3 linked regions of the Kluyveromyces lactis genome follow. Each later gene encodes a partner of the first gene's protein in a complex. Links are inferred from orthologs where the notes say so. Each region holds a gene or a part of one and is shown in the gene's direction. Other genes may lie near its edges. The genes, in order: CGI121, PCC1 and GON7.

What was found.
Region 2: CGI121 (region 1) and PCC1 share a complex: the UniProt entries of both Saccharomyces cerevisiae proteins name them as parts of the EKC/KEOPS complex. The link is inferred for Kluyveromyces lactis from reciprocal best matches to the Saccharomyces cerevisiae genes CGI121 and PCC1.
Region 3: CGI121 (region 1) and GON7 share a complex: the UniProt entries of both Saccharomyces cerevisiae proteins name them as parts of the EKC/KEOPS complex. The link is inferred for Kluyveromyces lactis from reciprocal best matches to the Saccharomyces cerevisiae genes CGI121 and GON7.

The regions. Positions count from the first base shown.
Region 1 is NC_006039.1:1,297,880-1,300,312, reverse strand, and holds CGI121 (Cgi121p), read left to right. Parts: upstream 1-1,349; coding exon 1,350-1,823; downstream 1,824-2,433. Other genes in the region: LFT1 (Lft1p), read right to left, coding at 37-1,101; TFIIH/NER complex subunit TFB3, read right to left, coding at 2,015-2,433. UniProt on the Saccharomyces cerevisiae protein: Component of the EKC/KEOPS complex that is required for the formation of a threonylcarbamoyl group on adenosine at position 37 (t(6)A37) in tRNAs that read codons beginning with adenine.
Region 2 is NC_006037.1:48,832-51,145, reverse strand, and holds PCC1 (chromatin DNA-binding EKC/KEOPS complex subunit PCC1), read left to right. Parts: upstream 1-1,371; coding exon 1,372-1,406; intron 1,407-1,484; coding exon 1,485-1,713; downstream 1,714-2,314. Other genes in the region: KLLA0_A00550g (uncharacterized protein), read right to left, coding at 1-1,047. UniProt on the Saccharomyces cerevisiae protein: Component of the EKC/KEOPS complex that is required for the formation of a threonylcarbamoyl group on adenosine at position 37 (t(6)A37) in tRNAs that read codons beginning with adenine.
Region 3 is NC_006037.1:564,719-567,174, forward strand, and holds GON7 (chromatin DNA-binding EKC/KEOPS complex subunit GON7), read left to right. Parts: upstream 1-1,457; coding exon 1,458-1,817; downstream 1,818-2,456. Other genes in the region: RIM1 (Rim1p), read left to right, coding at 709-1,101; FEN2 (Fen2p), read left to right, coding at 2,062-2,456. UniProt on the Saccharomyces cerevisiae protein: Component of the EKC/KEOPS complex that is required for the formation of a threonylcarbamoyl group on adenosine at position 37 (t(6)A37) in tRNAs that read codons beginning with adenine.

The DNA.
Region 1 (2,433 bases):
GAGAAATAAATATATTAGGCCTAAAAAAAGTACGTATCACAGTATTAACGGTGGCGTTGAACACTTTAAGTGTTCCTCGTCATCGTCGAGGTCTATTAGCGACAGGTGATGGTTAATGTTGTCCGATACTGCGTTATTGGTAATAGTCTGAGTGTTATCGGGATCAGAGAAAGGAATCGATAACGTGGGGGACCGCGAATTCGGTGATACAACACCAATTTTATAATCTTCAAGCTCTGGCGACCTAGCTTTGTCTCTGTGGTTTCCTTCGTCAGTATGATGGGTAAGGGATCCCCAAAACCAAAATTTGCTCTTCCTTTTCTCCTTTGGTCGCTTCTTCTTCTCTCTCGGTAAAGCTTTGGCGACAAATGGTTCCAAGGGATCCATTTTAAATTTCGGCTTGACATCATCACCATCCTGTGAAGGCAGATTGTTTCTATCATTTTTATCCCGCAGTTTATTGAGCAGAATTTGCTTACTTCTTAATTCATGAGCGCTTTTCATTGCTTTACTCCGTAGTATTTCATTTGTTGATTTCTTATTGGAATGCGGTTCCAAAGGCTTCTTTGGTGCGGTCAGCTCCGGTCGATGAGCATTTGAACTCCATGCAAATGTAACATTCTGTGTAGTCATTGAACTGTTGTTTAAACTACTGGAACCGTGGTTCGTTTCCTCACGTCTCCATTCTTCTTTGATTTCATGATATTTATCTATCATGGGGGTTTTTAATGGTTCAGACCACTTATCATAATTTGGGTCTCTTATGCGTAAGAGTTTGTCTTTATGTCGGGCTATCACCTCGTCTGCTAGCTTATATACCATGGCTTTTGTTTTTGAACCCTTTTTAGTATCGTCTAAATCCTCGAAGAAGCCTGCCTTTTCGAATTGTTCTACAGCTGTACGAACTTTTCTAATATATTCGTCATCATCATCATCTTTCTGATTCTCAAGCTTATTCCCCAGTGGTTGTTCGGTAGCAATTGGTTCTTTATGCGCTGCTGGTCGTTCGAGATCATTTGGTCCTTGATCCCGTACTACTTCGCTCAACTGCCTTTCCTCAAAAACACTATCCCAAACGTTTTCCTCGTCTGGAAGCTCCATTGACAGTACATATACCGTTGATATAGCAAAGTGATCACTTATTGTGTTTTCTTGTTCTGAACCTTTTGTAAAGTTTGTGTACTCATGGTTTTCTATCAATCTTTCTACGCTAGAAACTACTCGGATTGATTTGAAAGATTTAAATAGTAAGTCAGTAACAGTACAGATAATCAGAAAGTGAAGTTAAAAGAAGGACCGATAGTAGGCGACTTGCATCCAAGAAGTTCCAAGAGCTCATCACAAGACAAATGGCTGGAATAGTTTTGAAGTACAAGATTCCTCAGTTTCAGGAGTATACTATTCATGTTCAGAAGTATAACAATGTTACCAATTCTTCTGAGCTACGATCCAAATTGGCTGAATTACCTTTTGCATACATCGACTCCAAAACTGTGATATCCGTTGAACAATTGTCGAGTGCCATCTATAAGGCTATTTTGGAAACAGAGTACAATAGAATGCGGACAAGAACTATCCATTCTGAATGCATTTTATCACTATCTCCTAGTTCGAACATTGGCGATGCATTGAACAGATTTGGTATAAAGGAAGGAACAACTGATATAATTGTGATCAAAATCATTGAAGACAGTAATGAAGAACCCTATGATGGCAATGCTTCCGTTGATGGGGACCTAGTTCCAGTCTCGGATGATGAGTTTTCTACATCTGCCGATAAAGAAATTATCAAAACGGTATGTATTCCTTGTGATAAGTTATGAACAAATGAGAAGACTCTTAATAATGAATAGATTACTAACCTAAATGCTATATGATTATGATGAGGATAAAGAGCTACCGAGCTCTTTACCATTGTACTATGTGTTTTTTTTTTCGGTAGAATTACAAATTGAATAAAGTAGGAGATGTATCAAACGAAGAGTTATCAACACTTGCCGTCAACGCGATACAACTAAGAGGATTGTAATTCTTCGCTAATGATACAACCAAGACCCATGAATGCCTCTGTTAACATTCTATCATAAATGAAGTCCGCCCTGAATCCTGAGGCTATATATTCCTTCTTCTTTTGTAAGTCTCTGATGAAAGAATCATTATACTCGTTTTCAACCAATTCGTATCTTTTGTGTAAATCCCTGTCCCCATTGAATGGTGTGAACGGTACAGTATCTTTCTTCTTCATTCTACCATTTGTCATTGTCATGTAAGGATTGTTTCTTAACACTTTATTTAATTCTTCGAGCTTCCTTCTGGCAGAGGATTTCTTTAGCTTGACAGTCTTTTTCACATTTTCAATAACTTCCTCAGCATCTTCATTCACTGTGAGCTGGTTGACAATTTCTCTCTTTGCCCACTCCCTATTAGCCCTCT
Region 2 (2,314 bases), on another chromosome or scaffold:
AAGAAGTTGCCCATCACAGCAAACTTCAAAGTTGCTCTTTTGTGACGGATCGTCTAGTACTTCGACGTTAAAACAAAATGGCAGTGGTCTGTAAAACGTTCCATTCTGTAAGATGTTTGAATGCTTCGTATTTGAATAACCCATAAATACCCTTTTCTGGAATTCTACTCTATCCAGAGAAGACTGGTATGCCAATACATGTAGTTGTGATTCCAATGGATCAGAATCGGGAGATGGCATATAAGTTGGCTCCAGATTTGTGGTATTTATTAACGCAAAATAACTAAAAGATCCTTCCAGAATATCGGGAATAGAGACGCGAGATTCGAGCTTGTATTCTCTTAAAATTCGCTGGCTAGCAACTCTAAACCTTTCAATGCCCATTTTCTGGTACTCATCTTCTTCGCAGAGATGAAGTAAATTTGCATGAAATCCCAGTGACAAAATTATGAAGAATTTAAGGACATAACCGTTGTCAAAAGTTGCCCTATACAACGGGAAATCGTTGCAGGACAACTTACCATTGACAAATTGTGAGAATATGACAGCTGGATCCATCAACTTCAAAGAGCTTGCCCATGCATTTCCTGTACCCATTGGGAATGGAAGCACTGAAATACAGTCGTGGTTCAAGGGCAGGTTATTAACGAATTCTGATATCGATGTATCACCAGAAAGAAAGAGAACAGTGTACTGTCTAGTGCTGTCAATGCTCGAGGCCAGTTCTATGACAGATGACTTGGATGTAGTTTTTATTAGGCGGTAAGGGACAATAACCTGCTCAAAGAATTGTGCTATGACGTTCGTGGCGAAATCGCAGTCTTTATCCCGGCCAGATCCTGAAAACACCGAATCTACGATGAGCAGTTCCCCCGAATATTCAAATTTCTTATTAGCGAGAAGCTTCTCATCATCTAAGAGTTTCGAACCAAGTTGGTACGATTTAGCACCTTCTGCTAAAAGCTTTGTGACAATTGTAAATGAGACACCGTTATATATCCCTAATTCTTGTTTAGTTACGTTAGACTCGTCAGGCATTCTGGCCATGAGAAAATTTTATCCTTGAAGATCGGCCTGCCAATCCTTAGCTGATAATAAATTATCTTCGCACCTGGTACCAGGACGGGCATTTTGATAGTAAGTCAGATATTAAAGACTTAAATCCATGCTTGATCTAAACTACCTTCAAACTTGATGTTCTGTTATTTTTACCCAATTAGAAATCAAAAAAGTCTTCGAAAAACGCATCCGTACTGTGTGTGGTTCATGTTCAGGATGAACTTATTGACTTTGAGATCTTTATGAATGATACACACTTGAAACTTGCTGCAGTAGTGAGTTCAATCAGCGGATAAATAGTACTCTTTTAAGATGAATAAAGGAGACACGTCTTTCGAGCACTCTTTGTATGTTATTTCTGGCTCTTATGAATGCAAGTTTATAACTTGAAATACTAACAAGTTGTGATGTAAAATGCCGTACAGACATTTGGAAATACCATTTGAAAGCATTAAACAAGCTGATGTAGCAAGGAAAGTGCTGCTTCCAGACCCCATCATGAAACCAGAGGATTTCCAAGTTACTTATTCTACGCAAGACACCAAACTTATATGTGATTTTGAAAGCGTTGACGAGCGTATTTTACGTGTAGGTGTGAACAGTGTCATTGAATCAATCAAGACAATCGTAGAAACTATTGATGAGTTGTGCTAATGCAAACAGAACAGTACACGTTCGGGGTGCCTTTTCATCATCTTCCCATCTTTCTATTACTTTCTAACCTATGGTACTATGAAATTTCTTAAGGCAGAAAAACTAAACGCAGAACAATTTGTGTCATTGCATTCGTTATTCATATTATGCAGGAACGAAAGTGAAGAAAAAAGTTAAGGATCAAGCCTAGCAATATTTACCAACAGTGTCATGAAATCCCTAAGTCTATAGCCAAGTTCTACAATAAAGCATCGTACTGATTAGCGACAATTCGTATCCATGCATTAGAATCAAAGAAGACCGTCGTCATGTGAGATGTCGTTACCATTTCGAGTTGTGGAGACACGCAGAGTACATCACCAGCTTTCAGACGAAGAAAAGAAAAATGATTGAGGTAATATGTAAAGGTTTGGCAAACAGATACAAACCGGTCGTAGAACTTTTCCTTTCCCCTTCCGTTTCCAAGCCAACTTATTAATGTATATATACATATGCCTTACTATCAATTTTTTAAATCTTACACAAATAAGCAGTTCAACATGTCGACTGTCTGATAATAATAAACTACGGGCCTATTTCAGTCACTGCGTGAATCATTGGT
Region 3 (2,456 bases), on another chromosome or scaffold:
ACACTCCACAATTTACCAGTAATAGACCCACAGAGATTGTTCCTGTGAACGTACTCGTTTATATATCAGTACTCAGAATATCTAGAGTAAACCACGGGTTAGAATGAACGCACTCAAGTCAATCTGTAACGAAGATAGTCAAGTTTGTTATTTGAGTCAGGCATAGATACCAGGCCTTTAAAAGAACGAGATGACAGGGGAAAGACAAAGCCAACGAGGGGCATTTCATGTTGGAAACATTGACTCAAAACCGGGTAATGACAATAGAATACAAGGCACGTGATTATCACATGCTTCAATTACCCGGATAACAATGGTGATAACTCGAAGAGTTTCTTACTGGTAAAGACGCGATAAACGTAAATACCAGCAAATGCACTCGTTTCATGACAGCATAAACATTACAATATACGCCTCTGATATCTAATTTGTCACAAGAGAAACTAGAATCTCCATTTGCAATGCGAAACATTGCCACGGTTTCTCTTTTCCCGCATCTGCATGTTCTTTCTTATTGTAAATGTGCCATTTCTTACTCTCCGTTCATATACATTTTTGTTTATAAAGACATTTGATATAATTCGGTTTTATAAATTACCTTAACAAATATCAAGACTGAATTAGTATGAGAAGAATACGTGTGAAAATACAGTTATACTTCCCAGCCCAGTGATAAATTATCATTATCATTAAACAATTAAACACCCAATGTTCAGATTAGCCCAACGCCGTGCCTTTTCGGCCACTGCCCGCACCAATGATTTTGCCAAGATGTCCATTATCGGCCGTATTGGTAGCGAATACCAAGAGTTTACTACTGCTAACGATACTCGTTACTTGAAATACTCCATTGCTTCTCAGCCAAGAAAGGACAGCAACACAAACTGGTTCAATGTCACTGTTTTCAACACTAACCACATCAATTTCATGACACAATACGTCAAGAAAGGTGCTTTGGTTTACATCGAAGCTGATGCTTCTAACTATACTTTCGAAAGAGAAGATGGTTCCAGGGGCCAAAGTTTGAGTTTGGTTCAAAGGGATATCAACTTGTTGAAGAACCCAAAGGCACCTGAAACTGAAGAAGAACAACAAGCTTAAGAATGCTGTGATCTGTTAACCAATTCGTGTTGTTTTCTCTCGGCTGCTAATAATGTATTATTCCACATGGAGTATTTTTTTGACTACCTCTATATACTCTCTCTGTCTCTTAGTAATTACGTATAAATACTGTTTTTATCTAATAAGTTCTATCAAGGACATCTCGAATCTCACTCCCAGCCTTTACTTCTACTAGTATGCCTTTTTTTTTCCCCCATTGTGTCACAGGACATGTTCTGATGAATAGCATTTCTTATTTATCATATTGTCAAGATTTCTAATGTTAAATCATCATCTCATCTCATCAACAAGGTATTAAAAAGATAAAAAAGGGTATCGAACACAAGGATCAACCAATGTCTTTACCACACGCTACATATACCGGACCCAAATCAACTCATGAATTCGAAGTCGATCCTTCTGACCCCAGGTACCAGACTACGGAGGGAAGAACTACTGGTGCTTCAGATTATGTATTGAAACAAGGGCATCAAGACGTCGATAAACCTAGTGACCCAAAGAAGGTTGATAACGTCAATAGTAAGACAGGAATCGATCAATATACCACGCTTTCGCAACTGCGGATGCAATTGACCGGATTACAAGACGATATCAATGAGTATTTGACTGAGAAGATCAATCACGTGAAAAAACCTCGTAACAGCAAGCAAGAACAAGAGATAAACGATCTATTGGATGGTTCTGAAGAAACCTGAAGATTCTGCAGATCGAGAGCTTCGAATTCTGTCGTTTGAGTGTTGAATGGTATTTATACGTACTTATTATCTGTTTGTATATAAATAGTGTCATCAAATTGTACTATATCGTTCCGGTTTTTTGATCATCTTAAAGTTGGTGAGTCAACAGATTGTGACATCTCTTCAGAGAGAAATAGGTACTGGTATACACCGCCAAGAGTCCTAGAAGGACAGCTGAATAACATCAAAGTGTAATCACGCCATGGGCAAGCTATTTCGGGTCGATTTGACCGTTCTTTCTTTTGTCTGCTTGCAATATTGGATCAACTATGTGGATAGAATCGGTTTCACCAATGCTTATGTTTCCGGTATGAAAGAGGATCTCGGGTTCAAGTCAAATCAGTTCAATATCGCTAATACGTGTTTCACCGTTGGATATTTGTTAGGTATGATCCCTCATAATTTGATTCTATTGAGAATCAAACCTCGGATTTGGTTGAGTTTCTGCACTTTTGCTTGGGGTATTCTGACATTGTCAATGTTCAGCATTGATTCCGTATGGCAGTGCTATGTGATTCGTTTCTTTCAAGCTTGGTTTGAAAGTTGTACTTTCAGTGGTACCCATTTGATTCTTGGGTCCTGGTATACTCCCTCCCA